4 linked regions of the Cricetulus griseus genome follow. The protein of the gene in region 3 purifies or fractionates together with the protein of the main gene of each other region. This does not show direct contact. Links are inferred from orthologs where the notes say so. Each region holds a gene or a part of one and is shown on either strand. Other genes may lie near its edges.

Region 1 (8,094 bases), on a different chromosome or scaffold from region 3:
CTTTAAGTTGGGGAGTTGGTTCATTGATTGCTATTTTGTCAAGCTTCCAAACCTACATATGGGCTATATAATATATATACATATACATATACATATACATACATACATACATATATATATATATATATATATATATTATATATATATTTCCCTGTTTGTGCCAACTATTTCACAGTTACAAAATGGTTATTGGAAGTTATAGCACTAGGAAGAGTTCAAGTACTTGAAGAGAGGGCAGCGTGCCTAGAGCACTGTAACCAATTGAGATAGTGGCATAAGACAAATTGAAAAGGTGTGTAGGAACTGGCTCTTAAAAGCCTGTAGTAATAGGCCTGGGAGTGTGGCTCAGTTGGAAAAGTGCTTGTCTAGCATACATGAAGCCCTGGGTACAATCCACAGCACCACATATAACTGGATTGAGTACTGCATGCCTATAATCTCAGCACTTTGGGGAGATGGAGACAGGAGGATCAGTAGTTCAGCGTCCTTCTCAATTACAGAGTGAGAACCAGTCTCAAGGAAATTGTCTCAAGGCTGGTGAGATGGCTCAATGGGTAATGATACTTGTCAACAAGCCTGATGATCTGAGTTTGATGCTTGAACCCACATGATAGAAAGAACCAACTCCTAGCCGGGTGGTGGGGTGGTGGTGGTGGTGGTAGTGGTGGCCCACACCTTTAGTCCCAGCACTCGGGAGGCAGAGGCAGGTGGATCTCTGTGAGTTCAAGACCAGTCTAGTCAACAAAATGAGTTCCAGGACAGCCAGGGCTATTACACAGAGAAAGCAGAGGAAAAAAAAAAAAAAAAAAAAAAAAAAAAAAAACAACAAAAAAAACCAACTCTTACAAGTTGTCCTCTGACCTCCACATGTGCATGCCCATGTTCCCCTCCCCCAACTAAATAAAATAAATGTAATAGTTTGTGTTTAAGCTGTCTCCAAAAAAGACTCCTGTATGAGGAGAAATACAAAATTTATGTTAGCAACCCTTCACCACTTATGTGTCAAAACTGGGCTTCCAAAAATATGAAGGAACATGGACCAATTATTTGGCTAAATAGGTAATTAAATAAAGGGGACATTTTATTTCAGAAAAGCTGCTTGTCAGTGTGATGAATGGGCAACAGAAAACAATATTGAAGAAGCTAGAAGGTCAATGTGGAGACCACTGAAGTTAAAAGACAAGGATATTGGCTTTAAGTAGGGCTATTTTAAGAAGAGGGAGGGCTGGGTAAATGGCTAGCCTCACACCTAAAAAGAGAAGGGAACATTGTGTTAGAAGAAATGGGAAGGATGTAAAGAGCTAGAGGATGGGGAGGAGTACTGTGAGCTGCCGTCTTTTAGACATGACAGGGCCATGCACTCATGAATTCACAGCAGCCGTGAAGGAGACCTGTACAACAACAAGCCAATGAACCTTCAAGCATTGGTGAGGAGCTCATGAGGCTCCATTCCTAGTTGAAGAGCTATTAGAAGTTGATGCCAATTAGAAGAATTGAGGAAGAGTCAATTCTTTGCAGGTCCATTCCATGCACATGTGGGAAGTACTATTGGGGAGTTACAAACAACAGGGGGGTATGATAGGGGTTTAGAGGAAAGAGGTTGGAGTGGGGATGAATATGCTCCACATTCATTGGCACATCTAAGAAAGCATAAAAGGATTTTTAAAAAGGCCACATGTGATGGCACATACCTTTAATCCCAGCATTTGTGAGGTAGAGGCAGGTGAATCCCTGTGTTTGAGGCCAGTCTGGTCTCCATAGTGAGTTTCAGGACAGCCAGGGCAATGTAAAGAGACTCTGCCTCTCCCACAAAAAAGAATAAAAAAATATTAAAACCAACCAAACAGCAACAAAAAAACCCCATGTAAAACAAATATCTCCCTATTCTAAATTCATAAAGATATTCTCATATATATTATTCTACAATTCCTAAAGTTTTGCTTTTATCATTTGTTTTTAATCCATTTGAAACTGCTGGAGAGATGGCTCAGAGGTTAAGAACACTGGTTGTTTTTCCAGAGGTCTTGAGTTCAATTCCCAGCAACCACATGGCAGCTCACAACCATCTATAATGAGATCTGGTGCCCTCTTCTGACCTGCATGGACATATGCAGACAGAACACTGTATACATAATAAAGAAATAAATCTTTAAAAAAAAAGAATTAGGGATACAGTTTAATTTTCTCCCAAGCTCCATGTCATCTTTGAAAATTAAATAGTAAAAATTTAAAAATTATATTAGATTTCAGCCTTTGGTTATTTTATTCCTTCTTGTTGACTGTGACTGTGACTGAGACTTTTTTACCAACAGCTTCATTTTTGGCTTCCATCAGATTCTATCAACTGAACTTTCTCACTTTCCCAGCTTTTAGGCATTCTTTAAAAACAGTTACAGGAATAGGACTGGAGAGATGGCTTGGTGGTTAAAAACACTTCCCCATCTTCCAGAGTACCATCAGGTATTTTACAACCACCTGTAACTCCGGCTCCAAGGGACCTGATGTCCCGTGATTGTGGCATACATACATACACACATACTTCACAAATAAAAATGAATCATTAAATAGTTACAAATCTGGGTGGTAGTGGCACATGCCTCTGATTCTAGTACTCAGGAGGCAGAGACAGATGGATCTCTTGAGTTCGGAGGTCTGCTTGGTCTACAGAGTGAGTTCCAGGGCAGCTAGAGCTACACAGAGAAACCCTGTCTGGAAAAAAAAGTTACAGGAATAGCTGTGGAGACCACCTTCTGAAAATGGCACTAGCCTATAAATTCAAACTGTTGCCATACTATAAGGCCACTAAAGGGAAGCCTCAGGGTTGCTAAGAGCATCACTTAGTAATGAGCAGGCATAAGATAATAGAAGGTGGATGAAAGGATGAAGGCTGGAAATGAGCAATGAATGGATAAGGGCAGGGTATTAAGAAGAGAGAGGAGGGCCGGGCGTTGGTGGCGCACGCCTTTAATCCCAGCATTCGGGAGGCAGAGGCAGGCGGATCTCTGTGAGTTCTTTTGAGACCAGCCTGGTCTATAAGAGCTAGTTCCAGGACAGCCTCCAAAGCCACAGAGAAACCCTGTCTCGAAAAAAGAGAGAGAGAGAGAGAGAGGAGGGGAACGGAGAAGCCAATGAGGGAGGTAGACAAAGGAGATGAGAGTGAAGAGAAAGATGGGGATGAAGGTACAGTGCCATAGACATATGATGCAGGCGGAATGGGATTGGGGAGAAACACGTAGTAAGGAGAAAGGGGAAAAGGACAAACTGGAGCACTGGCTTAAGGACTTGGACCCCTGGTGTTCACACAAGACACCTTTCTCAGTACAGAATTCTAATTTTCAAGCTCGTAAGTGGATTGGGTCCAAGTTGGCTCTAGGATTTACATGGCAGCCTTTGAATTCCGCTTTGGGAAATAAGAGAGAAGCAGGCGATAAGGGCAGTATCTCAGAACACAACTTTCCCCAACTTCTATTTCCGTTGTCAAGGAGTCTAGGAGTGTCCTCATCCTCCTTCACACTCCAATCTTACCTCACTCAAGTCCTCCCTAAGATCCGCCCTTCTAGTCCAAACTGCCCACCCCTCCCAGGGTGCCTTCTAATTTCCGACTGGAGCCCTAGACAGCCCAGACTACAAACCACCGCCTCCTACTAGTCCTTAGCAACGGGGAGGGCATAACCTTGCTGTGACTTCTGTCTCAGCAAGCGTGGGCTCAGGCCCCGCCTGCCTTCTGATTCTCTCCCAAAGCGATAGTAGTCCTTCTGGGGACTAAAGCTTCCCCAGTTCAGTCCGTTACCGCTTTGACTGTTGCAGAGCAACGACAAAGGGGGGCGGGGTCAAAACACCCACGCACGAGCCGGAAGTGACTGGCCTCTGGCCCCGGAAATCCTCATTGGCTTGTACTTATTATCGCGAGGTTTACCGTACACCCGGCTTGCACCGCGGTATTTCCCGCGCGGGCTAACCTCGGTTCCCAGGAGTAATCTGCGGCCTCGCCTACGGTAGCGCCGCTGCCATGGGGTTCTTGAAGCTGATTGAGATCGAGAACTTTAAATCGTACAAGGGTCGACAGATTATCGGACCATTTCAGAGGTTCACCGCCATCATTGGACCCAATGGCTCTGGTGAGATGATAAATCCGGCTGCGGCCCTGCTGGCGTCGCGATCCGGTCCCCCTGTCCATCTCCAGAATAGTACAACCTACCCCGTGCAACCTGAGACGCTTGAACCCTAATATGTTCCTTGCTCTCCTTGAGGGGGGATTCGACTCGAACTCTCTCCCGCTTCTGCCATATGCTTAACTCGAGCCCCTTCCCAAATGTCAGGTGGCCGAGTCTTGTGCAAACCCCCTCTCTGGGCAGAATGGTATGGGCGGGACTATGGGTTGCCTCGCCCACAACCCCTCCCGCCAAAACACGCTTTCCTGGAACTTGCTGACAGTTGTTTGGCCTGTGGCTCCTTTCTGCTCTGCGTTGTACCAGGTTCCTGGTCTCAAGTTCGACACATTTGGGAAATTTTGGGAATGTTGTCTCTGCCTTGGCATTCGGTCCCAAATAGTATACTTTCTGCTTTAGCCAGCCCCACTCCGCAAACGCGACTCTCACTGGAACGCTCGTTTTTCCCTGTGTGCAGCTGTGACACTTTTGGGATTTTAGACACAACACTTCTCCCAGCAGAGTGGGATTCCGTTTCTCGCCCCTACACACCTAAGAGATGTTGCCTTGATTTGCCGCTTTCCTACCAGGAAGCCCTAATGAGCCTGAACTTGTTTGTTTGCCAAATTTGTTGAGTGCTTCCGGTTTTATCGGTTAAGTTTATGCGGAAAATAAGTCAAGTCCGTGATCCCAGGAAACTTATTTAGAGGAGAAAGAAGTTAAAGTACAAAATATAATATTCAGGCCGTTTTAAATGCTCTGAAAAAAAGGGGTTAAAGTTGATAGCTTAAATTGACTTTGGTAGTAGGTAAGCCTACTTTTCCAGACTTAAGCCTGCTATCGCAACATCTTTTTTTTTTTTTTTTCCCCGAGACAGGGTTTCTCTGTGTAGCTTTGGAGCCTATCCTGGCACTCGCTCTGGAGACCAGGCTGGCCTTGAACTCACAGAGATCCACCTGCCTCTGCCTCCGAGTGCTAGGATTAAAGGCATGCGCCACCAATGCCTGGCAATCCAGCTGTTTTTAAAAGGCCCTTGGCCCGAGTCCTTACCCTCTCTATTATTTTTTTTTTTTGAGACCATATCTTATGGTTTCAAATTTCAAATTTCCTTATGGTTTCAAATTTCCCCTCCCCAAGTGAGTATATTCTACCACATCTTCCTTCTGCATATCTTTCAAAGTTTGGCTCTGTGAAGCATCCCTTGAACCCTTGGTTCCCACTTTATAAATTGCTCTTTCTCTCTGGCACACAGACGGAAATTTCCCTCCCTCCCTCCCTCCCTCCCTTCCTTCCTTCCCCTTCCTCCTCCCTTTCTTTTTGGTGTTTTGAGGCATGGTTTCTCTGTGTAGCTTTGGAGCCTGTCCTGGAACTCACTGTGTAGATAGATCAGGCTGGCCTTGGACTCACAGAGATCCACCTGCCTCTGCCTCCTGAGTGCTGGGGTCAAAGGCATGTGCCAGCATAGACTATTTTCTGTCACAAATTTATAGTACCTGTGTCTGTATCTTCATCACTAGTGTATGAGTGTCCTCAAGAAGCCATTTCTTGAGATGTTTTGTTAGTGAGACTTTGTTAGTGTTCACGAAGCACATTAGAAAAAATGTTTACAACACTGAAGAATTGAGTAAAAAGGCTTGTAGTTGTAAGGTGTTATCCTTGAAAAAATCAAGGAAGAAGCTCAAAGGTTGGAAATTGATACTTGAAAGATGAATTCCAACTTATGTGCTAGTTCTGCTGTAACTGGAAGTGTGGTTGAATCTAGACTGTATAACAATACATCTGTCCTTCCATCCACCCATGGCACGGTTTCTCTGTGTAACAGCCCTGGCTGTCCTGGAACTGATCTGTAGACCAGGCTGGCCTCGAACTCACAGAGATCCACTTGTTTGTGCCTTCTAAGTGCTGGGATTGAAGGTGTGTACCACCACCCTGCGGATCTGCTGATTGTTGAACGCCAGGTTGATCTTGGTTTTTTATTGTTCATTTGTTGAGATAGGATCTCATTTCAGACTGGTCTTAAATTCTTACTTACTTCAAGGATGGCCTTCTTATCTTCCTGCCTCCATCTCCAGAGTGCTGGAATTACAGGTGTTCACTTCCACCTGGTGTAATACAGTGTTTGGGTTTGATCTGAAGGCCTTGTACATGCTAGATAGGCACACACTCAGCAGGGTCACATCCCCAGCCTCACAAGGTTTATGTTTTTAAGGTGTTTAACAAACAGTAACAGAATGAAGGACAAATGAGCAAGGATCTTGGAGCTGGATGTTGTAGGGAGACTGTTTTTATCACCCTGTCAGTTGAAGTAAAGAACTCACTGACAGTTTAACTTGAGGAATGACTAGGTTTCTTCCTCTTTAAAGTAGAGGAAATGCCTATTTCCTAAGACTTTTGGATAAGCTAAATTGGGTAATTAATGTGAACATGAATCACAAAGTTGCATGAATCATGTGATGTAGTATTTTTAAGAAAATAGCTGATTCTGCCTTGGTATTTTAACAAGTATTAAAAAGAGTTCAGGATGCTGTCAGATGAAAGAGAAGGCTGTGGAGATGGCCCAGTCTGTAAACTGCTTGCCACACAAGTATGAGGACCTGAGTTTGAATTCTCAGTACCCACTTAGAAAGCTGGGTGTGAGCCAGGTGGTGGTGGCGGCACATGCCTTTAATCCCAGCACCTAGGAGGCAGAGGCAGGTGGATCTCTGTGAGTTCAAGACCAGCCTGGTCTACAAAAACAAAAAAAAAAAGCAAGCAAGCAAGCTGTGTGTGGTGGTATATACTCATAATCCAGAACTGGAGAGGTGGAGACTGGAGGATACCTGGGACTTGCTGGCCAGCTATTATAGCTCAGTTAGTGAGCTTCTAGGCCAAGAGAGATCCTGTTTCAAAAAAATAAGTTCAACAGTTATTTAAAAAAAGACACCCACCATCAACCTCTAGCCTCCATATGCATGCACATACACACAAATTGGATATTTGAAAGAAGCTCCATATAAAAATAGTGTACTAATGATATAATTTTGGTAATTTTAAAAGTTTGAGAACCTGGTACTTGCTAGGTGTGATGGCACATACCCATAGTTTCAGCACCTGTGTGGTTGAGGCAAGAAGATTGCTATGAGTTCCAGGTTAACCTGAGCTGCATAGTGAGGACCAGGGTTGCATAGCAGGGCCCTGTATCAAAAAAAATTGTACTGGTTTTGCTACTTTAGTTTGTTTTGTTAAGTTTCTCTCCTTTTCCCTTGTTTGATCAAGAGACTGGACTGAGTGATTTCAAAAAGTACAAAAAGTTTTCCCAGTATGTGGTTCAGTGGTACATATCTGAGCAGACTCAGAAACATGCCAAGTTTCCTCTTTAATGTTTTTATTTAATTATTTTTAAAACGACATTTATTGTGTGTGTTTGTATCAGAGGTTGATGTTAGTGTCTTTTTTTGATAAATCCACCTTATTTCTTTATTTCAAGACAGGGTTTCTCTGTGTAACAGTCCTGTCTGTCCTAGAACTCCCTCTGTAGACCAGGCTGGCCTTGAACTCAGAGATGTGCCTGCCTCTGCCCCCTGAGTGCTGGGACTAACGGTGTGCTCCACCAACACCTATCAATTCCATCTTGTTTTTTGAGATGGGATATCTTATTGGATTGCAGCTCAGCAACCGGTCCATATTGCCTGTCGAGCAAGCCCTGTCTCCACTTTCTCAATGCTAGGTTATGGGCCTACTCCATCATACCCAGCTTTTTAAGTGGATGCTAAGACTCCAAACTTAGATCCTTTATGCTTGTGTGGCAAGCTTGGTGCATGTGTGGGGGTCAGAGGACAGTTTTGCAGGAGTCAGTTCTCTCTTTTCTCTATGTGAGTGCTGGAGGTCATACTCAGGTTATCTGGCTTGGTGGCAAGTGCCTTACTCTGCAGAACCATCTCACCAGCCTGTTCATAGGTTTTCTTAT
Region 2 (7,453 bases), about 52 Mb from region 3:
ACTGATGACATTTCATGTTTTTAACCTGACATATTTTTTTTATAGATAAAGTGGAGAATTTTAGTGAAGAACATGAAAAAAATAGTCACCATTTTCATAAAAATGCTGAAGATAGTACTAAGAAACCCAACACAGAAACCACAGTAGCTTCTGAATATAAAGCTGATGAGATTAAGGAAACAAATGATACTTGGAACACCCAGTCTGGGAAAAGATCAGAGTCTCCATCTGAAAGTTGTCCAGTCAAAGGACCTGTAAGAACTGGTTTATATGAGTGGGATAATGATTTTGAAGATATCAGATCAGAAGACTGTATTCTGAGTTTGGATAATGATTCTCTTTTAGAGATGAAGGATGAAGATTTAAAAAACCGATTGGAAAATCTAAATGAAGCCATTGAAGAAGATATTATACAAAGTGTTCTTAGGCCAAGCAACTGTAGGACGTACTGTAGGGCCAATAAAGCAAAATCCTCACAGGGAGCATTAAATTTCGATAAGCTAATGGATGGCACCAGTCAGGCCTTAGCCAAAGCAAACAGTGACTCAAGTAAAGATGGCCTGAATCAGGCAAAGAAAGGTGGTGTAAGTTGTGGGACCAGTTTTAGAGGAACAGTTGGACGGACTAGAGATTACACTGTTTTACATCCATCCTGCTTGTCAGTTTGTAATGTTACCATCCAGGATACAATGGAACGGAGTATGGATGAGTTCACGGCGTCCACTCCTGCAGACTTAGGAGAGGCTGGCCGGCTCAGGAAAAAGGCAGATATTGCAACTTCCAAGACCACTACTAGATTTCGACCTAGTAATACTAAATCCAAAAAGGATGTTAAACTTGAATTTTTTGGTTTTGAAGATCATGATGAGACAGGAGGTGATGAAGGGGGTTCTGGAAGTTCTAATTACAAAATTAAATATTTTGGCTTTGACGATCTCAGTGAAAGTGAAGATGATGATGACGACGACTGTCAAGTGGAAAGAAAGACAAACAAAAAAAGAACTAAAACAGCTCCATCACCTTCCCTGCAGCCTCCCCCTGAAAGCAGCGACAATTCCCAGGATAGTCAGCCTAGTACTAATAATGCAGGTAAGAATTGTAAGAAATATATACATAACATAATAATATGTTTAACATATGATTTGTTTCTCAGGCTTTAATCAAAGGCTAGACTGTTTCGTAGATACTTAGTTTTAGTTTGTTTTATATATGTGAGATTTATTTTTAATATGTAGATGTGTGTGCCTGTATGTGGGTATGTGCATGTGAATACAAGTACCCTCTGAGGCCAGAGGCAGTAAGTCCCCTAGAGCTGGAATTAGAGTTGTAAGCTGTCTGACCTGGGTGCTGAAAACAACTCCGATCCTTTGGGAGAGCAGCAAATTCTCCCAACCACTGAGACATTTCTCTAGCCATAGTTTGCTATAATATTAGTAGAAGCATCTATTTAGAACCCATCTATTGCCTCAGAGGTATAAAACTTTCATGTAAATTTTTAGGTCTTAAATTATGAAAGACTGGGAGTCTCGAAGCTTTAAATCAGTGACTAGCCTTTAAGGTTTTTGGTTTCAGATTGGATTCCAAACCAGGGCCTCACACATAATAAGGTCTGCCACTGAAATATACAGCCTTAGGCCAGTGTAGGCATTTGGTCTTTGGACCTTTGGGTGTGGCTTCAGGCGAACCTAAGCAGAAAGAGAGGAGCCTGAGGTGTGGCTTTTCATTGCTTGCTCCTTCTGTTGGGTCAGTGGATCAGTAGGAAGAGCAGAGAAACGCTCTGGTGGTTCTTTGTATTTTTCTGTGTAATTGTCCCCAATAAACACCCATTTTTCATTTTTCTTGGGTCTAGTGATATAATTACATCCTTGCCTTCAGGCCAGCACCTGTGAATTTATATGAGAATTTTAAACTGTTGGGACAGAGATACCAAATATCTTGTTTTAGCTTTGAAAATCCAAATGCAATGGAGACATAAGGATTTTGGATAATTAGAACTGTACTGATAAGAGATGGTTTTATGAGGGAAATACTCAAATTAATTAAACCCTTTGTAAGTAGCACAAAACTAAAAAAGAAAAAAAATTTTTTTTTTTTTTTGAAACATTCTCAAACCCTCTTAAATTGTAGTCTCATAAGATCAAAAGGTATGCTGGGCAGGTGGATCTCTGAGTTTTAGGCCAGCCTGGTCTACAGAGTAAGTTTCAGGACAGCAGAGCTACACAGAAAAATCCTGTCTGGGAAAAACAAAAACAAAATAGATTGTAAAGTACTGGGTAAGAATTCTCTTTTAATAATGAAAATTTGTCTCTTAAGACTGTAGGCTCAATGATAAGATTCTCTTAGGAGTTGAATCTCTCTCTCTCTCTCTCTCTCTCTCTCTCTCTCTATATATATATATATATATATATATATATATATATATAGGTAGCTTTGCTATAATTAAAGCTTTACTTGAAAAGGGTGATGTGTAGAGGATTCACTTATGTGAGGAAGAATTTGTGAAATAAAAGGTCTTTTCAACCAAATACAGCTTTGCTATATTGGTTTAATTGTTTAAAAAATTTTTTGTCCTGCTAAAGTTGTAGACATTTGTAATTGTGGTGAATTAGAATTTCCATAGTATTTGTGAATTTAGATTCCCAAATAGAGTATATCATACTTGACACTACCTGCTACTTAGCATTTTTGGGTCTAAAAGTAGTTTGCATGGTTTTGGGGGTGATTTGTACAGGGGAAACATGCTCTATGACTGAGTTACACTCTCAGCCCAGATAAGATTCATCCTTGGTTTTAACTGGAATTAAAGCAGGAACTTCTAGAGCCTCTTCAGTTCCCTAAGAAAGTATAGTTAACATTTATCTAGTGTTATCATCAGCCTCTTCTGGAAGATTGCAGTTTGCAGCAGCCTCACTAGACACTTGAGATCTGGTCATAATGCTGTGCAGTACCTACACTCTTGTCCTGCTGCAGTTTATTTGACTTTTAGGCTCAATTTGTATAGTAAGTTATTCTTCTCATCTGCAATTTAAAATCTGTTACATGTTGTAATAATAGGACTTCAATTCTGAAATGTGAAAAATAGACTAACTTTGAGAAATGAAGTTTACATGAACATTTCTGCAAGTTCCCAGGCAGGTATGTGTAGGCATACATGTAGGCAAAACACTCATATACATAATATTCATCTAAAATTTTTTAAGAAATGATTATCTTTATAGAAGCCAGCAGCCTCTTACAGTTTGAACAGTGTCTTTGACTTTTGAGAGCCACACCAAATTACTTATCTTGCATCAAAGCATTCTATATCCCCACCCAGCACAAATGCATTCAGTGAGTACTGGAAGCATGCAGTGTTGACACCAGACCACCTGGGTTTGGAGTCTAGCTCTGCTACATCAGCTCTGCTTAGCTGGCTTCCAACAAGTATTCTTTTAAGTTAACATGATTTCATGAACTTAAAATCTAGAAATAGCCGGGCGTTGGTGGCGCACGCCTTTAATCCCAGTACTCGGGAGGCAGAGGCAGGCAGATCTCTGTGAGTTTGAGGCTAGCCTGGTCTCTAGAGCGAGTGCCAGGATAGGCTCCAAAGCTACACAGAGAAACCCTGTCTCGAAAAACAATAACAACAAAAAAAATCTAGAAATATGTGAAACTTAGGTATCATTTGATATTTATGAGTTTGATATAAATTATATATCTAGCACTCATATGTATCTGGTAGTTACATGATCTATGAAGTTCAAATTTTATTTTGGAAAAAATTTAAAGCCAGACATAGTGATGCATGACTGTAATTTCAGTATTTGGGCAGCTGAAGCAGAGGGATTGCCATGAGTTTGAGCCAATTAGGGATATTTAGTGAATTCCAGGCCACTATGGGCGCTAGCTACAAAGAGCCATTCTCAGTAAAAGAGAAAATATTTGTTTTTGTTTTGTTTTATGTTAACACAAAATAAAACTAGAACACATGTTTAACAGCCAGGTTTTGAAGTAGAAGGTGAGGATTAGAGTAGCTTTTCAGCTGTTGCTGCTTTTAATCTTTCATTCATTTCTCACCCTAACCCCAATATTATGTTTAAAAAATGGCCTTAAGTTTTCTGATAACTTGAAATACTGGAAAGCTAGCTAGTTTTGATTACCGTTTCAGAAAACTTGGATTTTACAGAGGACTTGCCTGGTGTGCCTGAGAGTGTGAAGAAGCCCATAAATAAACAAGGCGATAAATCCAAGGAAAATACCAGAAAGATTTTTAGTGGCCCCAAACGGGTAAGTAAAGCACTATTATTTATTTATCATTAGAGGACTCATGTCTTATTTAGGGTTTCTAATGCTGTGAAGAGACACATGACAACATTTAATTGGGGCTAGCTTGCAGTTCAGAGGTTCAGTTCATTATCATCATGGTGGGTCATGGCGGCGCACAGGCAGAAAATGGTGCTGGAAAGGAAGCTGAGAGTTCCACATCTTGCACAGGAAACAGGAAGTGATCTGAGACACTGCGTCGTTTGAACACGTATGAGACCTCAAAGCCCATCCCCACAGTGACAGATGAATGGACGAGCATGCGTGTGTGTGTGTGTGTGTGTGTATGAGAGAGAGAGAGAGAGAGAGAGAGAGAGAGAGAGAGAGAGAGAGAGAGAGAGAGAATACTATTAAGCTGTAAAGAAAAATTAATAAAAATTAGCAGGAAAATGGACTTAGATTAGAATATGTGATATTAGATGAGTCCATACAATCTCAAAAAAAGTGTTCTTACATTTGAAGTCTAGCCATTAAAAAATATATGTACACACATATATACATACATATGTATATAAATAAATGTACATGTGAGCACAGTATAACATGTAGGAAAGAGAACAAGTATTGCTAAATGTTAGGGAATGACGAAGGACTGAATTTCTAAGCTATTCTGTAAAGAAGAGAAGTTCAGTGAGTTAATCTTTGGGCCTATGTTAGGTGTTTGATTTTTTTTTTTTTAATTTGCAATGTTTTGTATAATAAAGTGGTAAAATTTAATTAAAAAGAAATTCCATATTAGATACATAGTTTGCAAGTATTTTCCCAGTTCTTCGTGTTGCCCCCCCTCCTTGCCAATTTTTGATTTTGTTTTTTGGTTTTTTCGAGACAGGGTTTCTCTGTGGCTTTTAGAGGCTGTCCTGGAACTAGCTCTTGTAGACCAGGCTGGACTCGAACTCACAGAGATCCACCTGCCTCTGCCTCCCGAGTGCTGGGACTAAAGGCGTGTGTTTAAAAAACGCCCTGTGCCGACTTTTTAAATTTTTGATGAAGCACAACTCTTTTCCTTTTGTTGTCTGTGGTTTTAATATCAAAGCTGAGGATTCATTGCCAAATTCGGTGTAGACTTTCAAAACTGTTTTTCGCTTATGGTTTGTAGTTTTATTTAGGTTTTTGATCTATTTTGAGTGAATTTTTGTGCATACTGTAAGGTCGTGATCGTGATCCACCTTCACTTTCAGGCATTGCAGCATGTAATTTAATATAACCTTGCACAGGTATTGAGAATATTTCTTACATTTAAAAAGCCTGCTGTGTGTTGTTCTTCTAAGTTGTAGTTAAAAGTTGTCAGCAACTTTTATTTTTTCCAGTTGAATTAATTTTTGTATCTATTCCTATTTTTTTCTTATTTTACTTTTGTAAAAGCCCACTGAGTATCTTCACAGTAGTTGTTGATGCACTTTAGTTCTTATGGATTTGTTTATGAAGTATGTTAGTTTTCAGAGCAATATTTACCAATAGGCAAGGGATGGCCCAATCACATAGACTTTTTTAAATAAATGTTTTTTTAAACATTTATTTCATTTATTTTGGGGAGAGGATTCCATATGTAAGTATTGTGTTTACATTATTTCTACCTCTCCCTTCCGTGTCCTCCTCCCTTATACCTCCTTCTTCAACATCATGACTTCTTTACCTACTATTGTTACACATGCACACACACACAACACTCTCTCTCTCTCTCTCTCTCTCTCTCTCTCTCTCTCTCTCTCTCTCTCATACAAACCCACATATCTTGCTGAGTCCCTTTAGTTTTGCTCATATGTATGTGTGTAGTTTCAGGCCAGCTTGAACCACATAGCAAGACCCTATCTCAAATAAAAATGGTTTAAAAAACAACCAGGGTGGGGAGTGGGGGGAACAAAAAAAACCAAAAAACCCCTATCAGATTAGAAATAAAGAAACAAATTCCAAATGTATTGTTTACAATTCTACTAAAATAATAAACCAATGACATAGCAACATAACTTATATGAAAAATTATTTAAAACCAAAAATATTGAAGGAAGAATACATTGTTTTATCTTTATTTTTGTAAATTTCTGCAAAGGCAAGCTTAAAAAGATTCTTGAAGACTTGGTATGGTGGCTCATGACTTTAATCCCAACACTGGGAAAATCTAACATAAACATGCTATATGATTGTATTTTAGATAACCTTTTCAAATGATATTTTAAAATATATTTGGTGTGCTACACCAGAAACTTAATTTGAGTTTCTTGATGATTATCCCATATTTGTAAGCTTTTCATACTGTTAAATTTGAACCTGTTGTTTCCCCTTAACATTTTGAACAGGTATTTTTAACCATGCATGCTTTATAACCTTATATGTGGGCCATTTGGAAAATACTAGTCACCCTGAGTTATGCACACATTTCATTATGCTCACTCAAAAATTCATGCTAATCTTGTCAAACCAAATTTTGTTGTTACTGGTCATGTTTAGTCCGTAATAGATCAAGTTCTCCAGAATTTTAGTTTTTTTTTCTCATTGGCATCAAAATGCCTTAGGGAAATTAGCTGACAGTGACAGCCTCCCTTTTTTCCTTTATGGAAATATTTTTGCCAGATACCCAACCATGTTTGTCAATCTTTGAAGTAAGTTTTTTTTTTTTTTTTTCCTGAAAAAAGTGGCTAGATCTACACAGCTCAAAAAGTTGATGTATACAGAAGTGTTTTATGCACACTTGTTTGGTATTTCACACAACACTGAGATTTAATAAAACTGGTATTTCTTCTTAAAGGCTTTATATGAACTGATGCTTATACTTTGTGGCAGTGATGAGAACAGGTGTAATTTGAAGATTTTATAAATTCTTGCCAAGATACTATCAAACAGTGGTTTCAGTACCATCCAAAGGGATTTAAATTTCAGTACACCGAGAAAGGCAAATACAATAGTTCTGAATTTGTAGTCATCTGAAAGAGTTGATATATCCCTACAGTGTTCATAGCTTATACTTTGAGACCTGATGATTGATAGTATTCTACTTTATTCTGTGTTCCAAACTTTTTATAGTGAAATACTTTATAAGTTAATTATAGCATAAGTTTTTTGTTTGTTTTCCCTTTTTTTGTTTTTCTCTTGAGATGGGGTTTCTCTGTAGATTTGGAGGCTATCTTGGCTCACTCTGTAGACTATGCTAGCCTCG
Region 3 (7,453 bases):
ATGCTCTCAACCATGGGCCTCAGAAATACGTTTCTAGCTTCTTTTTGAGAGGTACAAGATGAATAAGATTGAATCTATTTTGTAGTTGAGAGATGTTAACAGGTGTTCTTTAAAACAATAATTTTTAAAAATAATAAATTTTTAAAATTATATATGCCATGCCCACCATCTTTCTTAGATCCTTTAATTTGTTATAGTACATTGGGATTTAAGAATAGTATTCATCACTTCAGAAACAGGAGATCTGGGTGTGATGGCTCACACCTTTAATACACTTGCTTGGGAAACAGGCAGACAGATCTCTGAGTCCAGCTTAATCAATACAGTAAGTTCCAGGCCAGCCAGTGCAACATAGTGAAACACTGTCTCAAAAGGAGGGGGTCATGCAAGTAAAAATATGGTTGATCAAGGGCCTTCCCTACCCTTTCTTTTTTTGTGGTTTAGGAACTTGAATCTAGGGCCTCATAAAAATTAGATGATTAGTCTACTATACTACTGAATCACTTCCCCAGAACTTTTCAAGAACACATTGATTAAACAATGAAATATTTAGCATTTGGGTTTGGGGAGGGCAGCTTGTGTGTAGTTAAGTTCATGTTGGCTGTCATACAAACTCAAAGGCCTTAACATCATTTTTAGTTTAGTAAAGCTTTATACAGGTTGGACTTTTGGCTACCTGTCTAATGTATTTTAATGTTTGATTTGTTGAGTTCATTTGGCTAGTACCTTCTGTGTAAAAACCTTGAATGGAATTCACTTAACTTTTTTCCTATTTTGGTAGGTTTGAATACTTAACTGTTCAAATGATGCTGTCTCATCAATTCATCTATTCATTTGTAGCTTTGCATGATTTGTTTTTCAGAACTTAAATAAACAGTCCTTCGATCTTGCAAAAGTCCTGTTGAAAAGGACAGTCCAGACTATTGAAGCATGCATTGCCAATGTATGTATTTCTGTATACTTTTATTTCAGAACTCTATGATTCGTGGGGTATTATGTGAATTTATTAGAATCATTTATATACAGATATATTTCTCATATAAACAGTTTTATTCAGATGAAATATGAAAACTTACATGCAAATATGACCACAATTGGAAAAATGTAGCATAACCATAAAATGTCTTTAAACTGGCACGAGTGATAGATATTACTTTAAAAACTAACTACATTTCTTACCCTTCTGCATCTGTATTCTTGCTTGTCATATCCCTCCCAAGTACTTGAAACTTTTACTTTGTCTTTGTATCTTTTCCCTGCCTTTTGCAAAAGGGTCTCATTATATAGCCATGGCTGGCCAAGAACTTTCTAGGTAGATCAGACTGGCCTCAGAAATCTGCCTGCCTCTCTACCCTTTGGATCTCTGTCTTCATCTGTATATATTTTCCTCTTTGTGTTTTCTGGATCATTTATCTAAAACTCTGTTTCTTTAGTAGATGTTTGTTGTGGGGAGCTGGGGTCAGAGGATAACCTGTAGGATCAGTTCTGTTCTTCCATCACGATCGGGGAATCAAACTAAGCTCATCAGGTTTGGGCGCAGGTGACTACCTGCTGAGCTAGCTCTCCAGTCTTATAAATAACTGTTTTTAAAACATTCGTTGATAGCTAGACAGTGGTGGCACATGCCTTTAATGCCAGTATTTGGGAGGCAGAGGCAGGTGAGTGTCTGTGAGTTCAAGGCCGGCCTGGTCTACAAATCAAGTTCTGGAACAGCCAGTGCTATACAGAGAAACTCTATAGGGGGACGGGGGCAAACTTTGACACACACACCCCCACACAAAAGCACATATACAAGCATGTGCATATATTAATTCCTGTAATAGAAAATTTTTAATTAAACATAAATCTGTTCTGTCAAAAGATAGAATTTGATAAAAATAAATAATTTTAAAATTAAAATTTATTACTTTAAAACAGTAATTCTTTTACAAATTTACTCATGCATATCTATTGTCTTTTACTTTTAGCTCCATTAATACAAATGAGGGAGGCAAGGGAAGCAGAAGGAGGGGTGAAGGAGAATTTTGGTAAAATGAAATAAAAATAAAAAAATACAAATGGATTTAAATTGACACATAGTTATTTCCCTTATTGCCTTATATTAAAGGTTTTATCAGTGTTTTTCTTTACAAGCCATCTTTGAGAATGCAACACTATTGTGGAATTACCTCCTTATATATAAAAAAGAGGGATTATTAATTTAAATTGTATAAAATTGCTATGTCTGTTATTAAATTAATAACAAGGTAGGCTACCATGAAAGTCCTGTTCTCCATTCTCAGAAACAACAGTCAGTAGGTGTTAGTATTCAGGCATCTGTACTGGCCTGTCCTTGGGGGTTCTAACAGGATATGCCCTCAGCTGCAGCCACTAACAGCACCTCCTGTGCATATTCATTATGTTCCCATCCTCCTATATTTCTCTCCCTGTCTCTGTCCTCCCCTCCTTCCTCTCTCCTGCTGCTCCTGTCCCTGGAGGCTAGTCTTCCCTTTCCCTTATTTATTTATTTATTTATTTATTTATTTATTTATTTATTTTCAGGGCAGGGTTTCTCAATGGCTTTGGAGGCTGTCCTGGAACTAGCTCTGGTCTGGAACTCACAGAGATCAGCCTGCCCCTCCCTCCTGAGTGCTGGGATTAAAGGCGTGTGCCACCAACACCCTCCCCCCTTCCCTTTTTTTACGATTCCTTTTCCTAATAAAAAACCCCTCAGCTTGAACTCTGTTGCATGTCATCTTTCTCTCTTGTGCTGCTTTTTAAAAATTATAACAAGTTCTGATCCATTTTCAGAAGTATCACCCCATGCTTATTTGTGTGTATATGTATGTTCTTTTATATGTATAGGTGTTTTGACTATGTATGTCTGTGTACCATATGTGTACCTGGTATCCATAGGGGTCAGAAGAGGGCATCAGATCTCCTGGGACTTGAGTTACAGATGGTTGAGAGCTGCCATGTGGGTGCTGGGAATGAACCTGAATCCTGGAAGAGCAGCCAGTGCTCTTAACCCCTGAGCCATCTCTCCAACTCCGACTCATAGCTTTTCTAAAGAAATACATATAACTTTATGATGTTCAAAACAAATGCTGATTTTCATAGAACTGTGTTTTTAAAATTTTGAAATCTAGTTCCTGGCTAGAGAGATGGGTTAGTGGTAGAAAGTGCTTGCTGTTCTTACAGAGGACCCAAAATTCCCTTCCTGACACCCATGTCTAGTAGCTCACTCACAACTACCTATAACTCCAAATCCAGTGGATTCAGTGCCCTTTTTTGGCCTCCATGGTTGTACACTCAGAATATATACACACAAATGAAATCTATAAAAAGTTAAAAACATTCTATATGTATATAGGAGGGGTGTGTTTGTGTAAGTGACTTGTGATTGTTTTTCCTACAGTATTCTTTTATGTATCCAAGTACCTCTGGGGGGTGGGGATATTTCCACTTAGTTTCCTTTGGAGACCAGAAAATAACATCACATCACTTGGAACTAGAGTTACAGGCAGTTATGAGCCACACTTAATGGATTTTTGGAAAGTTAATTGAGTCTTCTGCAAGAGCAGTCCATTCTCTTAATTGCTAAACCCTTTTTAAATTATCAACTAACTTTCATGTCTTCAACCTTAGTCAAAATGTATTTGACTTTCACTAGACATCACTAAACTCATAGGAAAAATATCAGATTGAGACTTTATAAATTATTTTGCAATGCTGAGTGATTGATTTATAAGTGTTCTTCTAATGAATTATACATGGTATCTAAATTGTTTTATTTTAATGAAAATTAAAGTTTTCAGAACTGTCGTCTTTATTAGAAACACAGCCAATAATCAGTGCTTTAATTTTAATCAGTGTTTTAATTCATGATTTGAAAATATTTGGAAGTTTGTTTCTTGTTTAGATGACTATGTTAGTAATTTAGTAGGTAATCTGTCATTCCTTTCAATTGTATGTGTAATGCTCATTCATTGTTTTTGCATGGATATTTATAGAAAATTGTTTTTTTAATTTTTTTTTAAAGTAAAGTAACACATCTTTTATTGTAATGTCTCCTCTAGTTTTTCAATCAAGTCCTGGTGCTGGGAAGATCGTCAGTCAGTGATCTGTCTGAACATGTATTTGATCTGATTCAGGAACTTTTCGCTATAGATCCTCATTTATTGTTATCTGTCATGCCACAGCTTGAATTCAAACTGAAGGTACCCTTTAGGCTTTACAGGGGGAAAAAAAAGTGTATTTTGAAGATTTTTCACTATTTCTAAAGGAATGAAATAGGAGTTTAGTTTATCTTAGCTTCATGACATCATAACATGTCTAGTTGTTATCTGATAGACATAGTGACACAGAGATAGAAAAGTGCTGTTGTCTTTGAAATTTATAATATTCAGTATTTTTACTTTAAATAATACTTATATTTAGATACTAAATTAATTTTATTGTGTAAATAATGGGTTTAATCATTTTTATGCCACATCAGTATATTAGGATGTACATATACACACTAAATAAATGTAATATTATATTATAAAAGTAATTGATAAACTATTAATGTAGAAATTTTAAATTATTGTTCCATACATTCATTAAAATGGGTATTGTCAGTTCAACATACATCTTCATAATTTAATATTTCACTGTGACTTAGATCAACACTCCTGTATATCAGCAATAACAAGCCATTCTGCTCCTGAAGGCCATTTGAAATACACTTGAGGAACATGTGAAATCTTACAATGAGGGCTTTAGGTCAACTTAGCAGTTTGGTTTTAGTAGGTTACAGATGTAAAACCTCACATTAATTGAAATAACTATGGATCTGCAACTGTAGTCACTCACGAGTAATAAAAAATTTCCTTATACTCTATTGTTTGACATTTAAGGCATTAATATTTCCTTAGAACATTAATTGGATTAACTGGTAAATTTTGGATATACTAAACACTGGTATCTCTCAGCATTGTTTTATTTTGCTTGAGAAAAAGCTTTTTAAAAATGCATTTTTTTACTACTATGTTAAAGCCTTAACATAATTGTCATTTTACATTTGTTTTATACAAATGTATGTATTTTATTCCTGCTGCCCAAAAGCTTTCTGCGAGTGATTAACTTGAATTTTGAATTCTCAGTTTCCTTAGTAGTATTGTTCTTTATCATGTTTTCTAGTCAGTGGAGAATTATTATTAAAACTGTAAACCAAAACTTTTAAGTGTTCTGTATCCATAGCATCGAGTCTTTATGAAGGAAGTTTACTAGGGCAGGAATTATTTGTCACTTTGTCCTTTGTGGAATTTTTCTAAAGTCTTAGACAATGTGAAGATTTAATAAAATGCTTATATTTGTACAAAGTCTCTATAATCAATGTGTAACTTGCAGATAAATTGTAAAGTAGGCATAAATTAGCAATAGGGAAGATGTAAGAAGGTCATCAGAGAATCATGCAATCTAACATGGAATCAGATTGTTCATCATAATAGTTGAAATATAAGATTGTTTCTACTTGGGAAGTATAGTGCAGGTTCTCTTCATTGTTTCTTCTCTTTGTAGAGCAACGATGGCGAAGAACGATTAGCTGTGGTTCGACTTCTAGCAAAATTGTTTGGCTCTAAAGATTCAGACTTAGCAACACAAAATCGGCCTCTTTGGCAGTGTTTCCTTGGGCGGTAAGAAAGCATGACTTTTGAATTTTGTGTGCTCTTAGAGTCACATAATTACGACTACATATACCAAACATTAATTGATATTTGTTGACATTTGTGTAGTAATTTGCCTTTTAGAATAAATTGTGGAGCAAAGTATTTATGTATGAGTGTGTGTAGTATAATATGTGGGTGCATTCTGAGTAGTTTTTATTTTGTAGCAACATTTCAAGCTTTAGTAATATTAGATCTGCAAAATCTGTTGTCTGAGTTGAAGCGTATATTTACAGTAGTTGTTTCAATGTGTTAAGCATATACTGTTTGCAGAATTGTTTCTATAGAATTAAGCATCTTTCTCTCTGTCTCTGTCTCTGTCTCCATTATGTAGCTTTGGTTGTCTTAGGGTCCCTCTGGAGACCAGTCACTGTCTTTGAATTCATAGATCTACCTGCCTCTGCCTTCGGGATTAAAGGTGTGGGCCATTATGACTAGTTCTTTATATTTTTCATAGAATACATTAGCTGTCAGTATAATTAACAGTTTCTACTTAGTAACCATTGCTGTTTATAAACACTTTTATGTTATATGTTTATTAATAATTAATTTGCCTTATTGATGCTTGGCAATCTTTTTCTACTTAGCTTTAATGACATTCATGTTCCTGTGAGATTAGAAAGTGTGAAATTTGCTAGTCATTGTTTGATGAACCACCCAGATTTAGCAAAGGATCTCACGGGTAAGCTCCCTGGTTTATTACACGTTAATTAATTACAAAATGTTTCAGATGTGGCCTGTACCTAACTCTAGTTTCCAAAAGGGATTTGATTCTAGGCTGTCTTCATGTCTGCTTTTTAGACTAGGAAATTAATTCTGGTTTATAAGATAGTATCTTATAAAACAAAAACATGTATTTGTCATTTGTAAATATTTTAGAAATCATAAGTTGAGATAATGTAAGCCTATGACATTGGCATTAGATACAAAACACGTACATTATTAAGTATAGTAATATACCTAATGTGTGCAGAAAAGGGGGGCTATTTTCTAATTTAGATTGTTAAATTTTCATTATTCAGTTTAAAGTAGTAAACCTACCTATTTGTCAGTAGCAAATAAATAGCTTTTATTAACATGCTACTATTTATTGAAAGCAGAAGAAATAACTTTTGTTTTGATTTCACTTGTATTATAATTTATTTAGAAATTTAAAGGTCATTCTGTTTCATATAATGTAACTGTGTATATATCATTTGTCTTAACCATTTGTACTGCTTTTTGTATTTTAATTTATAAATGAGGTTTCAGACTGTAAAATTGGTGCTGTGCTATCATTTGACCTTCCACCAAAAATATTATTTAAGATGTGCTCTGAAATAATAAACATAGTGTTAGGAATAGTTAAGGCTACTTAGTGATGTCTTACAGGTAGCATTAATTCATCTTGTATTTTGTAGTCATTAATACAGCAATGCTTAAAGCTTTTATCTTTTTATCATTCTGAATCATAACAATTTATATAGCTAACATTTATCTCAACTGTTCCCTTTTAATCATAGAATATTTGAAAGTTAGATCACATGATCCAGAAGAAGCCATTCGTCATGATGTCATTGTTACTATAATAACAGCTGCTAAAAGAGATCTTACCTTAGTAAATGATCAGTTACTTGGCTTCGTCAGGGAGAGGACACTGGATAAACGGGTAAGACCTGGGAGTATTGTTCTTCCCTGATTTACTGTGTTCAAATTGTTTGCTATGCATGTCTGGTATTATAATACCAGTTTCAGCTTTTCTTTGGATATCAGAATAGCACTAA
Region 4 (7,936 bases), on a different chromosome or scaffold from region 3:
TGGTAGGCAGGAAGCACTTCCGCAGAGACCATGAGACATCTACTTTTGTTCCCAGCAACCCCCACCCCCGGGAATGGTCTCGTGTGAAAGTGTAATAGTCAAGCTCACAGCAAAAGCTGTCATCAGTGCTACAGCTGTATGGCTCCTGAGAAAAAAGCCACATCCCAGAGCCAAGACTGTGCAGTTCATTTTGAAAGAAACAGATGTGGGTGAGGAAAGGGTGACCAGAGACCACAAATCTCAAGTTGGTGGCATCTGGAGCCCATACCATGAAGTATACTTACTTTGCCCTAGACATCAGTACCTCATTCACCAATGTGTCAACAGCAGAACACAGACATGAACAGCTCCTACTTAACAGTCACTCGTGTTAAAAAAACAAACAAAAAAAACTATGACTACCTCCTTCTTTCACATCCCAGACTCCATATTCAGATTTCCTCAAGAGTTTAACTGTCTCTAGCCTGTGAGCTCCCTATCAGACTCTAGGACTCCAAGCCACCAACAGAGGGCAACACCAGAGAGATAACCCACGATGAACTTGTTTCTGACAGTGCAGGATTGTAACAGAATTAGCTTCTCATCCCCAATACTGTGAAGAAAGTCCAGGGTAACTAGCCACAATATAACAAGGGGCCAGCTACACCTTTCTGGGTAACAAGTCCTGCTCTACTCAAAAGTCAATATGTACAGGGAGAGGGGAGAGCCTAGCCAGGTGTACCCCCACTTTATCTCATTCAATCAGAAGATCAAACTGTTCAGCAGCTTCAAACTCAGCATTCATGGCCTTAGCCCACTCATCCAGCTCCGATTTCTGGTAGAAAGAAATGAGGGCATTTGAGTGGGGAAGCGGCCACATTGCCCAGAGAATGTTACTTATCCACACCTCAGGAATTGCCTTCCCTCAAAACCTGGAGTCCTGCCCCCCTCCCCCCAACCAATACGGTGCATCTGTGGGAGAGACCCCGCCCCTTACTCACTAGGATCTCCGGCACCTTCTTCCTTCGCTTCTCTTTCATGACTGGAGGAGAGATTCCAGGAAGCGTTGTGTCTGGAATCAAGGGCTTCGAAGATACTTTGGGGATCTCAATTAACTTTGAACTCACGACAGGTGAGACTTGGGGCAAGTCTTCAAGTCCCTCAAAGCCAAAGAAGGATCGGCGGCCAGGGGTGGAGGTTGAGGCAGCATTGAGCCTCTCAAGCCGACTGTATGATCGCCTGACTTTCTGGGACATTTCCAAGTCTCTGGTGTCCAGTTCTCTTTCCTCAGAGTTAGACTCAACATTCTGAGTATACAGCACTGGGGTGCTGGTGGGGGTACCAGGGACACTACAGGTCTTGAAGAGGTCCTCCTTTGTGGGTACCTTGAGAGGAGGGTTGTTTTCTTTTTCCAAGATAAAAGAGATCTGTATCAGGACAGGCGAGAGAACTCTTGTCAGCTCGGGGATTCAGGATGGAAAGACTGCCCACAAAGCACAGGATTTCTACGTTTCTTGTGTATTTTATGGTTGACCTTGTGCATGCTAGACAAACACTGTGCTGAGGAGTTCCATCCCCAGTCCAGGACAGATTTTAAGCAACAAACAGTCATAGAGCACATGCCCAGAAATGCATAAGCCCTGGGTTCTACCTCCACTGTTGGAAAGAAAAAAAGAGATAATCACTACTGTTTTGGAGAAGCTGACTTAGGACAAGATTCACTACATTTGCTGCCACCCTCAAATGTACCTGGCATATAGCAACAATTTGCTACTTGACATAAAGTTCCAGCATACCTAAACTGGCTTGACAGCCTCCTAATTGTTTTGCCTGCTTCCAGGGTCATCTGCCATATAGCTTCTAAAGATTTTTATAAGATGTTCATTTGACCAATAAATATCTATTAGTGACCTGTCCCACACCAGGGAATGTTCTGGGCACCGGGAATATATCAGGGAAAACTTAAAACAAAACAAAACACTGGCACCTCAGCACTTTCACTGTGGCACTGAAAACATGAGGAAAACTTGGGTGGGGGTGGGTTAAAAAGCAGAACAAGCTGGGCGGTGGTGGCCAACGCCTATGATCCCAGTACTCGGGAGGCAGAGGCAGGCAGATCTCTGTGAGTTCAAGACCAGCCTGGTCCACAAGAGCTAGTTCCAGGACAGCCTCCAAAGACACAGAGAAACCGTCTCAAAAAACCAAAAAAAAAAAGGTTCTTTTGGGACTGGAGAGATAGCTAAGAGAGCACTGACTGCTCTTCCAGAGGTCCTGAGTTCAATTCCCAGCAACCACATGGTAGCTCACAACCATCCGTTATGAGATCTGGTGCCCTCTGCTGGTGTGCAGATATACATGGAGGCAGAATGTTATATACATAAATAAAAAAAAAAAAAAAAAAAAAGCAAGGCAGAACAAGGTGAGTGGTTGTAGTGCATGCCTTTAATCCCAGCACCCGGGAGGCAGAGGCAGGTGGATCTCTGTGAGTTCGACCAACCTGGTCTACAAGAGCTAGTTCCAGGACAGCCTCCAAAGCCACAGAGAAACCCTGTCTCGAAAAACAAAAACAAAAAACAAAACAAAAAACACAGATGGGTGTGGTTGGACACACCTTTAATCCAGTACTCAGGGGCAGGAGGACCTCTATGAATTGATGCCAGCATGGTTTACAGAGTGAGTTCCAGGACAGGCAGGGCTATACAGAAAAACCCTGTCCTGAAAACAAAAGGATGCCATCAGAAGTGGTACCACCTCTAAATACTACATCCCCATCCTCTTGCGGCCACACAGCCACCCAGACTGTACTACTTTTTTTTTTGTTTGTTTTTCTTTTTCTTTTAGTTTTTTGAGACAGGATTTCTCTGTGGCTTTGGAGGCTGTCCTGGAACTCTCTTTGAAGACCAGGCTGGTCTCGAACTCATAGAGATCCACCTGCCTCGGCAAACCACCCCTGCAATGCTGAGATTAAAGGTATGCACCACCAACACCCTGCCAGATTGTACTTTTTGAGAAAGGGTCTCTTTATGTAGACCAGGCTGGCCATGAATTTGGAAGTCCTCACTTTTAAGGTAGTTATGTTTAGAGGGAAAGATATCAAACATGTAAGCAAGTACTCTACTAGATGATGATAAAGTAACCGCAGAGAAATGGGTCAATGAACTATAGTAGTCAGGAAGCTCTCCAGGAGGAGGTGTGATAGGACATGTGTCCAGCCATTATCTTAGTTGGGGCCTAATCATATTAACTCAAGGCTCTCCCCTTGGTCCCAGGGTTGCAATGAAATCACTCACATACTCCTAGAGAAATCTTTCTATGACATCCCAGCTTTACTCTCTCAGTACCTCAGTTCAAAAGCTGGCTGTGATTATCTCAACAGCAGGGCACCTGCTTAGCATGTGTGATATCCTGAGATTGACCTCCAGCACCACACATCAGGATAAGAAATCAAACTAGGGACTATAATCCCAGAACTCTTGGGGCTTAGGAAGGAAGATAGCCTTGACTTCAAGGCCAGCCCATCTTACTCAAAGAGTACCAAGCCAATCAGACCAACTCAATAACAAAACCTTGTTCAAAGAACAAAATATCATTGGGTATAGAGATGCACAGCTGTAATTCCAGTACTTGGGTGTTTGAAGCGAGAGAATCAGGAATTCAAAACCAGCATTAATTATACACTAAGTTCAAGGCCAGGCTTGGCTATATGAGACACTAATACACTATCTCAAAAAACAAGGTGTTCACAGACAAATGACAAAAGTCCTTAAAAGTTCTACCAAAACTATAAAAGCATGTACATACAACTCATCTTCAAGATGGGGTTTCTCTGTGTAGCTCTGGAGGTTGTCCTGGAACTCGCTTTGTAGACCAGGCTGGCCTCGAATTCACAGATCTGCCTGCCTCTACCTCCTGAGTGCTGGGATTAAAGGCGTGCGCCACCAACTCCCAGCATATAACTCATCTTTTACAGTTTGTATTTTGTATGCACGTGTCCATGGAGGCCAGAAGAGGACACTGAAGCTACAGATGGTTGACATCCATCTGATTTGGGTGCTGAGAATTACTCTTTCCTTTTTGTAAACATTTACTTAGCTGGGTGGTGGTGGTGCACAGCTCAGGAAGGCAGAGGTGGATCTCTGTGAGTTTGAAGCCAGCCTAGTCTACAGGGTGAGTTCCAGAGCTATACAGAGAAAACCTGACTTGAGAAACAAAACAAAACAAACTAAACCCAACAACATTAAAAACTAAAAATGAAGGAAAGTCCTGATAGCATGGACTCATTTAATCCTTGGTACCATCACTGGGGAGACCAAGGCAGTTGGATCTCTGAGTTTGAGGCTAGCCTGGTCTACAGCAACTTTCAATTCAGGACAACAGTGTTACACAGTGAGATCTAAAGTGACAATTCATAAAGGTGTCAAGAGGCAAGTTGTTCTCAGCTGCCTGGGTGGAAGTGGTGCTTAGTATGTCTACCCTTTTTTCTAAGGAGAACCGGATCCCATACAAATAAGCAGGTGGAACTGAACTCACCCTAGGACTCCTTCGAAGTGTGTGGACAGCTGGGACCTGTAGAGATAACATCAACCCATCAATCAACAGCTTAGCCGGTTTGACATCTCACTCTCAAATCCCTTTTAGTCCCTCACCTCTACTGCATGAGCCACGATCTTCTTCAAGATGATAGCCTTTCTGACCGGAGCCGCTTGAGGTGTCTGAAAAGAGGGGAAAGGGTTACCATGAGCTTTACATTTGTTCAAAGCTTTACATTAGGTCAGTACCTGAGGAACTCGGATCTCACCTTCGGCCATATTTCAGGAAAGATGTTTGGGAGATCTGAGCCAGATTTCCGCTGGGACCTCTTCGAAGACTTAATAAATGGAGTCTTGGGTCCTGGAAAGGGAAATATGTTTAAAGATAAGCAAAACTTTGTTCGAGGAAAAAAATAAAAAACCAAACGAAACCAGGCGCTTGACGAGTTCGGAAAAGCTGACGCCGTTTTCCAACTTGCCCGGGAGCTAAGTTTCATTGTCCAAACGACACGGCCCTACGGCTGTCGAGCGTCCTCCACTCACCAGGCCGCTGCGCGGCCCCTCCGGACCTCGTTCGCCGCTCCGACATATCTATGGTCCGGCTCAGTCTCCTTCACCACCGTAGCCAACTTAGGCTCGCGCCAACCGGGAAGTTTGTTCCTGCAAACGTTCAAATCACCCGCCAGCGGGAAGGCGGAATCGGAAGTGACGCAAGAAGAAGGCTGCCCCTTGGACTATGCCTTTGTCGTCTCAGGTTTACGTCTTGCGTGGGCAGAGGCGTGGCCTGATGGCGCTGTGGCGTCATCAGAGCGCGCCGCACCCGGAAGAGACGTGGCAGCGGAGGGATAATCAGAGCGGCTGGAGCCGAAGGGAGCAGAGCTTCAGCTACCGGAGTGGGTCAACACAGTCTCCGACCTTCTGCGCTTCCCACCACAGTACGCACCGGTCGCTACCGGTACCGCGGAGGTTCTCTGAGACTCAGCATGGGGTCTGCCGGATGGGGGTGGGGTCAGGAGGGGGTGGGGTCTTAGGGGCGGGCTGGTGTTATTGGAGTAATTGATGGAGAGATCTGGCTAGGGGCTGGGTCCTGATGGAATGAGTACGGTCTGTGCTGGGGGCGTGGCCGTACCCGTGCTGAGGACTAGTGTGGGACGGGTCTGAGAGATTAAAAAAAAAAAAAAAAAAACGAACTAGGTTGGTAAGAACAAAGTGGCAATCACATGAACCTGGTTTCCTGTTAACTCAGATCCTCTCTCTAGGATCGGTCATGGGCCTTTGCAAGTGCCCCAAGAGGAAGGTGACAAACCTGTTTTGCTTCGAACATCGAGTTAACGTCTGTGAGCACTGCTTGGTAGCCAATCACGCCAAGGTGGGACGTTCAGAGCGGTGGCTGAGCAGGGCACTGGGTGGGCAGGCCAGTCTCCTTCCAAATCCATGAGGGACTCAACGCTAGATTGTAAGCTCCACAAGGGCAAGGACTTGGTTTATGTTGCTCTCTGTTAGACCTCCAGTAGGTGCTCAGTAAGTGTTCATTGACTAAACACACAAAATGAATCTGATGAAAGAAACAAGGCACTTGGGCCTTGGAGTAGTATATTAATCGTAGAGCCTGGGCACCAGTTGTGACATCTCTTTTCCACTCCAGTGCATCGTGCAGTCCTACTTGCAGTGGCTACAAGATAGTGACTACAACCCCAATTGCCGCCTGTGCAACACACCCCTGACCAGTCGAGAGACAACCCGTCTTGTCTGCTATGGTAAGGCCTGGGCACTGGGAAGGGGTCAGGGCAGCCCCAGGATCCAGCTTGGAGACTGGTTTGCTGGCACCTTTCAAGCTTCGAGACAATAAGTCTCTGAAACCTGGAGGCCAGAGCCTCTGATCCCAAATCTGTTAGGTACTTCCCTGCTTCGTAAGCCTAATCAAGCCTTGTCCCTTCCACAGCCTCAGTGTCTTTCCTTCCTGCTCTGCCAGTCTTGGAGAGCTGGAGATGACTGATCTGTGGCTGTGAGCAAGATCCATTTTTGGGGAACGTTATTAATTCCAAGACTGGACAGAAAGGAAGCCTCACTCGTGCATTACAGTTAGCTAGAAGGAGACAGTAGTCACAGCCTGCTGTAAAAGACTCAGCTTAAGTTTTTCAAGATGCTGGTTCAAAAGGGCAGGCTTTAATGTGTTTCTCTGTGAGATTATGTGTACACTCATACAAATGGACAATTTGATTACTACGTATGGGAAAGTGAATGGATAATGAATGTATATGAACACATGTCCTATGGAATGCATGATGGCATGAGGGTGTTGGTTTTTGAGTATTAGCTGCCTTGAATGTACAGATGTGTACATCTTAAACATGTGACAATTAGTGTAGGTTGAGGGAATGGCTTTTGAGTTTGCTTATATATTAGCATATGTATATTTGTACCTCTGGATATATGCATGTATCTGTGTGTATGTCTGGGAAGCTTTCCTAAAAGTGCTTTTGTATTAATGTCTTTTTGAGCTGGGATCTCATGGGGCTGACTTTGAACTCTTGATCCTTCTGCCTCTACCTCCCAAGAGATAGGTGTACAAGTAGCTGCTGCCACACCCAGCCTGAAACTATTGTTGTTTAACCTTTAGCGTGAGGAGTGTGATGGGTTCAGGCCCAGAGAAGATTCTGGTAGATGACATTTTCTTCCCAGCCACACCTTCTCCTTATGGGCTGGCCAAGTAGATAGAATCTACTGTGATTTAGTACAGTGGTATTAACAAGAAGGTTGAATGAAGTCTTGGGGACCTGGGGTGAAGAAGAAAAGGAATGACCCTGGGTATCCACATATATGTTCATTCATTCCTGCAATGAGCTGACTAGGGTGTGTGTGTGGGGGGGGGCAGGCATTGCTAGGCCTAGGCTAAGAGCCCAACAAGTTGTCTTTCTCATGTCTTTCCTTTCTTGTTTCATGGGTCCTAAGATCTCTTCCACTGGGCCTGCATCAATGAACGTGCTGCTCAGCTACCACGAAACACGGCACCTGCAGGTTACCAGTGCCCCAGCTGTAATGGCCCCATCTTCCCCCCAGCCAATCTAGCTGGCCCTGTGGCTTCAGCACTGAGAGAGAAGCTAGCCACAGTCAATTGGGCACGGGCAGGACTGGGCCTCCCTCTGGTGAGAATCCCCCTGTCTATCTGGCCATCTGTTTGCCCTCGCCCTCACCCTCACCTGAGCCAGATTGGATGGGTTGGTAACATGAGTGAGCAGGCTACTGACTTAGATCCCTTTCTCCAGATCGATGAGGCAATAAGCCCAGAGCCTGAGCCCCTCAATTCCCCAGACTTCTCTGACTGGTCCAGCTTCAATGGTAAGTGGTGGCCTCCATCTGCTGTCTGGGCCTTGCTTCCCTGCTTCACTGACCATTCTCTCTCTGTCCACAGCCACCAGCCCTGCTGC

Evidence for each region.
Region 1: the proteins of Pds5a (region 3) and Smc1a purify together in Homo sapiens (co-immunoprecipitation; 8 studies listed by BioGRID and IntAct, with this or other methods). This does not show direct contact. The link is inferred for Cricetulus griseus from reciprocal best matches to the Homo sapiens genes PDS5A and SMC1A.
Region 2: the proteins of Pds5a (region 3) and Wapl purify together in Homo sapiens (affinity purification with mass spectrometry; 6 studies listed by BioGRID and IntAct, with this or other methods). This does not show direct contact. The link is inferred for Cricetulus griseus from reciprocal best matches to the Homo sapiens genes PDS5A and WAPL.
Region 4: the proteins of Pds5a (region 3) and Cdca5 purify together in Homo sapiens (affinity purification with mass spectrometry; 4 studies listed by BioGRID and IntAct, with this or other methods). This does not show direct contact. The link is inferred for Cricetulus griseus from reciprocal best matches to the Homo sapiens genes PDS5A and CDCA5.

Annotation. Positions count from the first base shown.
Region 1 is NC_048604.1:107,482,309-107,490,402, reverse strand, and holds the start of Smc1a (structural maintenance of chromosomes protein 1A), read left to right. Parts: upstream 1-4,009; coding exon 4,010-4,118; intron 4,119-4,198; exon of another isoform or gene 4,199-4,342; intron 4,343-8,094. Other genes in the region: Ribc1 (RIB43A-like with coiled-coils protein 1), read right to left, coding at 1,692-1,706. UniProt on the Homo sapiens protein: Involved in chromosome cohesion during cell cycle and in DNA repair. Central component of cohesin complex. The cohesin complex is required for the cohesion of sister chromatids after DNA replication.
Region 2 is NW_023276807.1:184,659,953-184,667,405, reverse strand, and holds part of Wapl (wings apart-like protein homolog), read left to right. Parts: intron 1-45; coding exon 46-1,089; intron 1,090-4,147; coding exon 4,148-4,266; intron 4,267-7,453. UniProt on the Homo sapiens protein: Regulator of sister chromatid cohesion in mitosis which negatively regulates cohesin association with chromatin. Involved in both sister chromatid cohesion during interphase and sister-chromatid resolution during early stages of mitosis.
Region 3 is NW_023276807.1:132,696,932-132,704,384, reverse strand, and holds part of Pds5a (sister chromatid cohesion protein PDS5 homolog A), read left to right. Parts: intron 1-862; coding exon 863-943; intron 944-4,058; coding exon 4,059-4,199; intron 4,200-5,544; coding exon 5,545-5,660; intron 5,661-6,277; coding exon 6,278-6,372; intron 6,373-7,192; coding exon 7,193-7,338; intron 7,339-7,453. UniProt on the Homo sapiens protein: Probable regulator of sister chromatid cohesion in mitosis which may stabilize cohesin complex association with chromatin. May couple sister chromatid cohesion during mitosis to DNA replication.
Region 4 is NC_048596.1:53,259,503-53,267,438, forward strand, and holds the start of Cdca5 (sororin), read right to left. Parts: upstream 5,234-7,936; 5' UTR 5,098-5,233; coding exon 5,052-5,097; intron 4,870-5,051; coding exon 4,778-4,869; intron 4,692-4,777; coding exon 4,626-4,691; intron 4,546-4,625; coding exon 4,510-4,545; intron 1,407-4,509; coding exon 981-1,406; intron 815-980; coding exon 734-814; 3' UTR 1-733. Other genes in the region: Zfpl1 (zinc finger protein-like 1), read left to right, coding at 5,296-5,443, 5,768-5,877, 6,154-6,265, 7,461-7,654, 7,775-7,847, 7,921-7,936. UniProt on the Homo sapiens protein: Regulator of sister chromatid cohesion in mitosis stabilizing cohesin complex association with chromatin. May antagonize the action of WAPL which stimulates cohesin dissociation from chromatin.